Daphnia pulex: one gene and its partner. The protein of the gene in region 1 purifies or fractionates together with the protein of each later gene. This does not show direct contact. Links are inferred from orthologs where the notes say so. Each region holds a gene or a part of one and is shown on either strand. Other genes may lie near its edges. The genes, in order: cytosolic iron-sulfur assembly component 2A-like and cytosolic iron-sulfur assembly component 3-like.

Region 1 (3,260 bases):
CAGTGCTGGAAGGATGCCATGGCACTGCGTTACTCCACAGGCGAACGGGCCATCCCCAAAACACCTAACGTTTTCACCGATGAGGCTGCTAAGGCATTTGCCGATAATTCCGAAGTGCTAACCTTAGAAGAACTGGAACTAATGGAGCAAGAATCGTCCATTTACGGCTGTCCGCCAGCTTGGGGACTCGCCAGTTCTCATTGGCAATGTTATCTTCGAGTTCAGGCTCTTTTAGTGAACCAAAGAGTCGTCAGCCAAGTGAATAATGGGCCCTATTACTTCCATCTAATTAATTTGATTCGGTATGGCTGGGACTGCAACTCGTACCGAAAAGAACCCAGTCGTGCGTTCAACATTTGCTTGCTCATTATCGACCAGGCGAAATCGTTCAGCTCGACGGCATCTTCACCCAAATGTATTCACATTTTCGTCGAAACACTCGATCTGATGTCAAAGTGTTTCGAACGGATGCGAGAAGAGACCGCGGAGAGCCCAGAACGACGGGAATTGACTCCCGGTAATCTTCTGAAAGCTATTGGATGCTGCACCGTCATAGCCAATCTACTACCAGTTCCACTAATGAATGATAAGGATCACAATAGACTTCACAGAGTGAACATATGCGCCTACGATTTTGTTTCGCTGCTGTTCAAGAGTTTCCCCCGGTTAAACCAGGAAAAACACAAGCAACTTGAGGAATGCCTTTCTCAATTTATTCCCCTAGACGTTCACCGTGGATCGCACAGTCTTTTACATGCTGGAATTAATCGGTCCGTGTGGTTATACGAAAGCAATACCCAACGTTTGATTAAACTGTTCTTGAAAATGGGGGTCGATCCGAATGCCACGGATAGAAAAGGGAAAACTCCGCTTCATATTTTAGCCGAGAAATGGAACTGGACTCGATTCTCGACTTACTTGGACTCGGCCGACTTTCCTTCCGAGTCTCTGTCAAATGTTTTTCAATCACTAGTGGAAGCAGGTGGTCATCTCGACCAAGCCACACCAGAAGGCCATACAGTGATCGATTTTTTGGAAATTCAGCGAAAGAAACATTCCCTTCATGACTATTATTTTAATTCTTATCTGAACTCTCTGATCAATACCGTCTTGCCCCTGTCTTGTTACTGCGCTCAGTCCCTTCGTCAACACAAAATTCCACTTGGAAATCAACTTCCGCCTAGAGTGCATTCATTCATCCTTCGGCACAGCGCGCTTAAGCGCTGACTTCTGAATTTTCGCAATTTCTTTATTATTCAGTTCATGCCAATCTTTTTGTGTACCAGATGATTATTATATTTTTGTAAAATATAAATTCGTTTAGTGCACACATGAAAAGTACAGATTTCTACTTTGTTTCATTTCAAGTAACAAATGCGAACTCAAAGAGTCCAGTTAAAAAATCCGGAAATCTTGAATGATCTGCACTCGCACCAGTCAAAATCCCGCCAAAAGGTTTACCTATATTGTTGTACTTCAGTTCACTAGATGGCTCTTTTCATGTAAACAAAGTGACGTCTGATTAAAAAAAAGTGCAGTAGTTAACTCGTTCATCTGCTTCTTTCACTATTTTGGTTTGTCTTTTTCACTCTTGTACTTAATTGGAATTGTAGAAAGATAATTCAAACCACCATTTGCATAGCGTAAACTTGCATGTCCTATAAAGATTTAATTGGTTGCTGTACTTAATCAAAGTGTCGAAATGTTCCTCACGTCTTTTCTGAAAAAGATAAGTAGCAGTGAGAGCAAACCGCCTCCCGAAACAGTTAATAATGTGATATTAGAGAAGGCTGTAACCGTAAGTTCACCAGTGAACTTGCCAAGTTGGAAGGACAGATCAATTTGGACATCATCGTGCAGACAGGAACCAAATGTTCAGAATCAATGTCAAGAAATCAAAGAAATCATCACTGGTCTGTTTCGTCTTTATCATATTTCACCACAGGGTAAAACATTTATTGATTTTTATTTTAGACTTGCTGAGGACAATTAGAGACCCTGAAAAGCCCAACACGTTAGAAGACCTGTTGGTTATTACAGATGAATCTGTTCAAGTACAACCATTCGAGGAAAATGGTTACTTGGTTAGAATAGATTTCAATCCTACAGTTCCTCATTGTTCACTTGCAAGCCTTATTGGCCTCTGCCTGAGAGGCAAGATTCAGAAAAATGTGGTGGAAAGGATTAAATTGGACATAGTTATTGCAGAGGGGAAACACAGCACAGAAGAAGAGAGTAAGTCCTAATTCCATATTTAAATGTTCAAAAAAGCTTTCATTAAAATATTCTTTTACTTTATTCCCATCCAGTCAATAAACAAATCAACGACAAGGAAAGAGTCGCCGCCGCCTTAGAGAATCCCAACTTAAAAGAAATGGTCGATAGTTGCATAAGAGATGAAGAATAATAAGAATTTTGTTAAGAAAAAAAAATAAAAGACGATAAATTTCCTCAGAGTATTTTGTATTCCATTCCATGAGATCAACTCACAAGTATGAAAGGCACTGCAAAGGCACTGCAGAGACAATTTCATCGCACATATACACCCTGGATTGATTTTAGTAGAAGACTAGAAACAATTACCAAAAAGCTCCCTGGTATATATATAAATTTTGCAAGTGTTATCTCTGGTAAGAAGAAAAGCATAACCAAAAGCGACAAGCAAGTTTGTTTCGTGAAAGACTTGTAAACTTAAAAAAAGATCAAAATTTCTCAAAAACGAGACAAGTTAAGTGAAAAACAAAAGGGAAGTGGGGTTGGGAGGCAGTAAGTAATTTCAGGCGAGTCGAGGGACTTTTTAAACTTCGGACAGGACCGCAGGAGTGCTGGGAATAACATCCATAATCACTTTGACAGGGTCGTTGTTGTTTTCCTCGGGCTCGATCTTGGACGCAGGCTGCTGCTTCTCCAAGTCCGTGGCGGTGCATAGGGAACGAGTGCGGGGTGCTCGACGGCCGCTACCGCGTCGGACGGGCTTGTCTGGCTGCGCAAGGTGTTGATTCAGCAGCTTGATGACTTCCTCCACGTCAGCTTCATTCTTGCCTTTGATGTTCTCTTTGATGACCTCGACCACACCGTCATCTTTCTTGTCCTGCAAAAGAAATTTCAATTAGATTCTTCCGGTTAAGAATTGAAAAGAAGACAAACTCACCTTGAATGTTTCCGTAAGGCCTACATAGGTGATGCCCGACTCGACGAGCATATGGCGGAGGAATCCAGCTCGCCGACGAGGCTTGATACCTTGGCGAAACATGTCAGCG
Region 2 (3,928 bases), on another chromosome or scaffold:
AAATTTGGTAAAATTTCTGAAACATTTTCCGACTGTGTCCTTTTCCGCTCTTCTACTACCGAGCATTTACTTCGTAGAGCCGACGCCAAATTCAAACTAACGTCAGTTTCTGAAATCCCTGGTCGGACGTTCGGAACTTGACCGGGTAAAAATCGCAAGCGTGGAACATACCCTCCGCTTAAATTTTGGGGTTGCAAATTTACTCGCGCTAACTCAGATAAAGACGGGCGGACTACGCTCGATCCGACGCTTTTCGAGAGGTTTGGATTACCCAAGCTTATCTTAGCCAAATCAGCCAATTTTGGCTTGGCAGCAAGCGGATTGGTCACAGAAATGTTATTGGCTACTGGATTCGGCTTAAAAGACGACACTATACGATTAGGAGTCGATCGTTCCGCAGCTGGATTATTCTTCGATAAATGAAGTGTTGCAAGTTGGCTCAAGCTTATTTTATCAGTACTAATGCTAGGTGTAATATCTTACCTTAGTGAACAGCATTCAAAGGAAAACAGATGCAGCGTCATCACCAACATGTAGAATAACAAATGAAAAAAAAAGGAAACCATTAATTCTATGTAGGTTGATAAATAAATTCAAAACTGACTAATTAAATTGCTTAATTGCTTAAACAAAAAAATAAAATGCATATCTCAAATATTTGCTAGGGGAAATTGGTTTTCAAATGATACAGCTTTGAGTTGTTCAACACAGCATAAGACTTAACTATTTTGTGTATCATAATGTTTATACCTTGAATTGCAGGAACTGTTTTTTCTCTGATTGTTGGTTTTGAGACTTTTTTCAATGAAACAGGAAAAGAATTCCTTAACAGCTGGTCAAGCGCCTTTTCAGCATCAAAATTAGCTGCAAGAATTGCATTGATTCCTGCTTGTTCTGACAGTGCATCTCCCATCCTATCTCTAAGAAGATCCAGACATGAATACAATTGGGCCTGTTCCAATTCTCCTAATGGTGGTATTCTAGGTGGAGCACTAACACCAGCCCCATTTTTAGATTCCTTGTACAGAAAAATAATGTATAGTAGTTGTGAGAAAATGTAACAAAGAAAAATAAATACTTCTGGCGTCAACTCTTCTTCTTCTTCAGGAATGTCAGACTGAATGTAGGCAGACATCTGATGCTCTTGATTTCTATCGTAGAGGAAGTGTTCTGTACATGGCCGGACGTCAATGAGTCAAAACATTACAATTTCTCAATTAAACTAAAGCTTTCAATTCATGATAATTACGCATGCTCGGCGATGATGCAAAATCATCTTCAACAGAGTGGCCGTAGACATCATCATAACCATCGTACTCTACACAAAAAATTTTTGACATTATGAAAAAGATAAATGAAATTTGCATTACGTTTAGTTAATTACCTTCGTCATAATTCATAGTTCGAACGTTCCTATGCCTAGCCATTCTGTTATAATGAATAGTCCGGAAGTTAAGGAAATTAATAAAAGAAATTATTCAAATGAAATTAATTTTGTAAAGAAACGATTTCTAGTTTCTAGTTAAATGATCCAATCAACAGTGGGTTTCGAGGTTTCGACAAGTAAAGTGAAATTTCCCTTCCTCCGAAAGAAGGTAGTACTAAAAAGAGTACGGATGTAAAAACAGTTGACAAACGCCAGCCTTCTTTACATGTTTACAACAATAACAAAACACAAAACAACAAGTATGGCTACCAGTTCAAGATTCAGCAGTATTGTACAGCTGACAGACTTGGATGACTTCATCAATCCTTCTCAAGTATGCAAATTGAGATGACACAATTTTATTATTGTTGAACAAATGCTGAAATTTTTTTATTTAGGAATGCATTAAGCCTGCTAAGACAGCAAATGTAAAACAAGTTACTTCTGCTGGAAGTGCCAAAATCCAAATCGGCGACGATGGCATTTACACCCAAATCAATAAGGTACATGGGACAAGTAATATTTCACTTCAGGCTTATAGGGTTTATTATGTAAATATCCTTGGTATAAATATGTAATTTCTTTAAATGTTTCCTGTAGGAAGGACAACCAGAAAAGTTAGAGAAAGCACAGATTACTCTCAATGACTGTTTAGCTTGCAGGTGACTTTTCAGTTCATGCATTTTATTAAGACACAATTGTGTAACATTGTTAAATTTTACAGTGGATGCATAACATCTGCCGAGAGTGTGTTGATTGGCCAACAAAATCACACAGAATTCTTAAAGCTATGCAAAGAAATTCAGCTGTCTTCAGAAAGTAGAGTGTATGATAAGATTGTAGTGGGGCTTTCATCCCAGCCAATTCTTTCATTTGCAAACAAATTCCAAGTATCTCCCATAGAAGCAAGAGCTAAACTATCAGGTATATTTCCATCGTGTAAATGTTTGAAAACTCATTATTAATTCTGTTGAGTTATTAAAGCTCTTTTTAGGCAACTTGGTGCTGCAAAAGTGTTTGATGTTGAATCATTTGCAGATATGTGCCTAGTTGAGTGTGGACATGATTTTGTTCAAAGATTCAGAGAAAAGTCAACCAATGCTACATCAGTTCCAGTACTTGCTTCTGCTTGCCCTGGTATTGAAATGCTAATTTAATTTTCTTTCTTTACGTTTGTTGATTTGCTGCACGTTTGTTTTAAGGTTGGATATGTTACGCGGAGAAAACTCACGGAAGCTGGATCTTACCGCACATTAGTGAAGTTAAGTCTCCACAGCAAATAGCCGCTACATTTATCAAAGATTTACTTCCCAACGAACTTCAAACGGATGCTTCGCGTCTCGCCGTCGTCATGATAATGCCGTGTTTCGATAAAAAATTGGAAGCGTCTCGTAGCGATTTCCTTCGCGAGGATCAGCAAACCAAGGATGTTGATTTCGTTATAACTCCTGTCGAAATCGAGCAGATACTTGAGGAACTAGATGTTGAGTTCACCGACCTGGATTCATCTCACGTTGATCATTTGAGTAAAGCCGAGATTCCGACGTGGAATATACCATCTGGATCCGGCTCAGGAGGTTATGCAGAGCATGTGTTGCGATTTGCCGCCAAAGAGCTTTATGATGTGACCCTGGAACACATCACGTTCCAGCCAGTTAAAAATTCGGATATCAGAGAAGCATTCCTTGAAATGGATGGACAGCAGGTTCTTAGTGTGGCAATTTGCAACGGATTCCGAAATATTCAAAATCTAGTTCAAAAAATGAAGCGGAAGAAGCGTACGTATGACTATGTCGAAGTCATGGCCTGTCCATCTGGTAAGTTTTAAATTTGATACACAAAAAGAAAAATTCCTGACATATCAATTGCATTAGGTTGTCTAAATGGTGGAGCTCAATTGCGATTGGAATCTAATGAAACAAAGATACTTTTATCAAACCTAGAGATTCTCCATACGAAAATCGAAAAGCATGATATTGATGAGACGAAAGCTGATGATTTAAGTCATGCCTGGCTTGGAAAATCTTCGATTGAGGAACGATTGAAAAGGTTAAGAACCAACTACCACGCTGTGCAGAAGTCAACTAATGCTCTAACTGTTAAGTGGTAGAAGAAAACTACTTCTGGTGCAATGGGGTTTATTTGGAATGTTCATCATTCAATTTTGAAAATAAATATCACCGGCACTCTAAGTTACAAAAAAAAACTAGTTAAAATGTATCCAAATGATGAATTACACATTTTTCTATATTATATTTTTAAATCGTATGTATGTAATGTAATAGAGTATTTAAATGAATACTCTATTGATGTTAGTGCCAAATATTACTTATGGGTGGGCAATTTCGATAACCCTACATAAAATATTCCACACAGTAAAACCTCTATCACGTTAAAATAGTATATTAAAATGATACTTGAAAAAAATGTCGTTTGCAAATTAGACGTTAATATCATCATCCTCATGTTTGGCCAGCTCCAACCCCGTAGATAGGTGGTTGT

The links.
Region 2: the proteins of cytosolic iron-sulfur assembly component 2A-like (region 1) and cytosolic iron-sulfur assembly component 3-like purify together in Homo sapiens (affinity purification with mass spectrometry; 4 studies listed by BioGRID and IntAct, with this or other methods). This does not show direct contact. The link is inferred for Daphnia pulex from reciprocal best matches to the Homo sapiens genes CIAO2A and CIAO3.

Annotation. Positions count from the first base shown.
Region 1 is NC_060021.1:3,191,116-3,194,375, reverse strand, and holds cytosolic iron-sulfur assembly component 2A-like, read left to right. Parts: upstream 1-1,513; 5' UTR 1,514-1,702; coding exon 1,703-1,913; intron 1,914-1,974; coding exon 1,975-2,235; intron 2,236-2,309; coding exon 2,310-2,407; 3' UTR 2,408-2,724; downstream 2,725-3,260. Other genes in the region: maternal protein exuperantia-like, read right to left, coding at 2,798-3,091, 3,152-3,260. UniProt on the Homo sapiens protein: Component of the cytosolic iron-sulfur protein assembly (CIA) complex, a multiprotein complex that mediates the incorporation of iron-sulfur cluster into extramitochondrial Fe/S proteins.
Region 2 is NC_060024.1:1,853,131-1,857,058, forward strand, and holds cytosolic iron-sulfur assembly component 3-like, read left to right. Parts: upstream 1-1,608; 5' UTR 1,609-1,652; coding exon 1,653-1,760; intron 1,761-1,824; coding exon 1,825-1,929; intron 1,930-2,026; coding exon 2,027-2,088; intron 2,089-2,150; coding exon 2,151-2,350; intron 2,351-2,410; coding exon 2,411-2,563; intron 2,564-2,628; coding exon 2,629-3,243; intron 3,244-3,300; coding exon 3,301-3,536; 3' UTR 3,537-3,679; downstream 3,680-3,928. Other genes in the region: protein HBS1-like, read right to left, coding at 751-1,018, 1,079-1,170, 1,250-1,318, 1,385-1,427.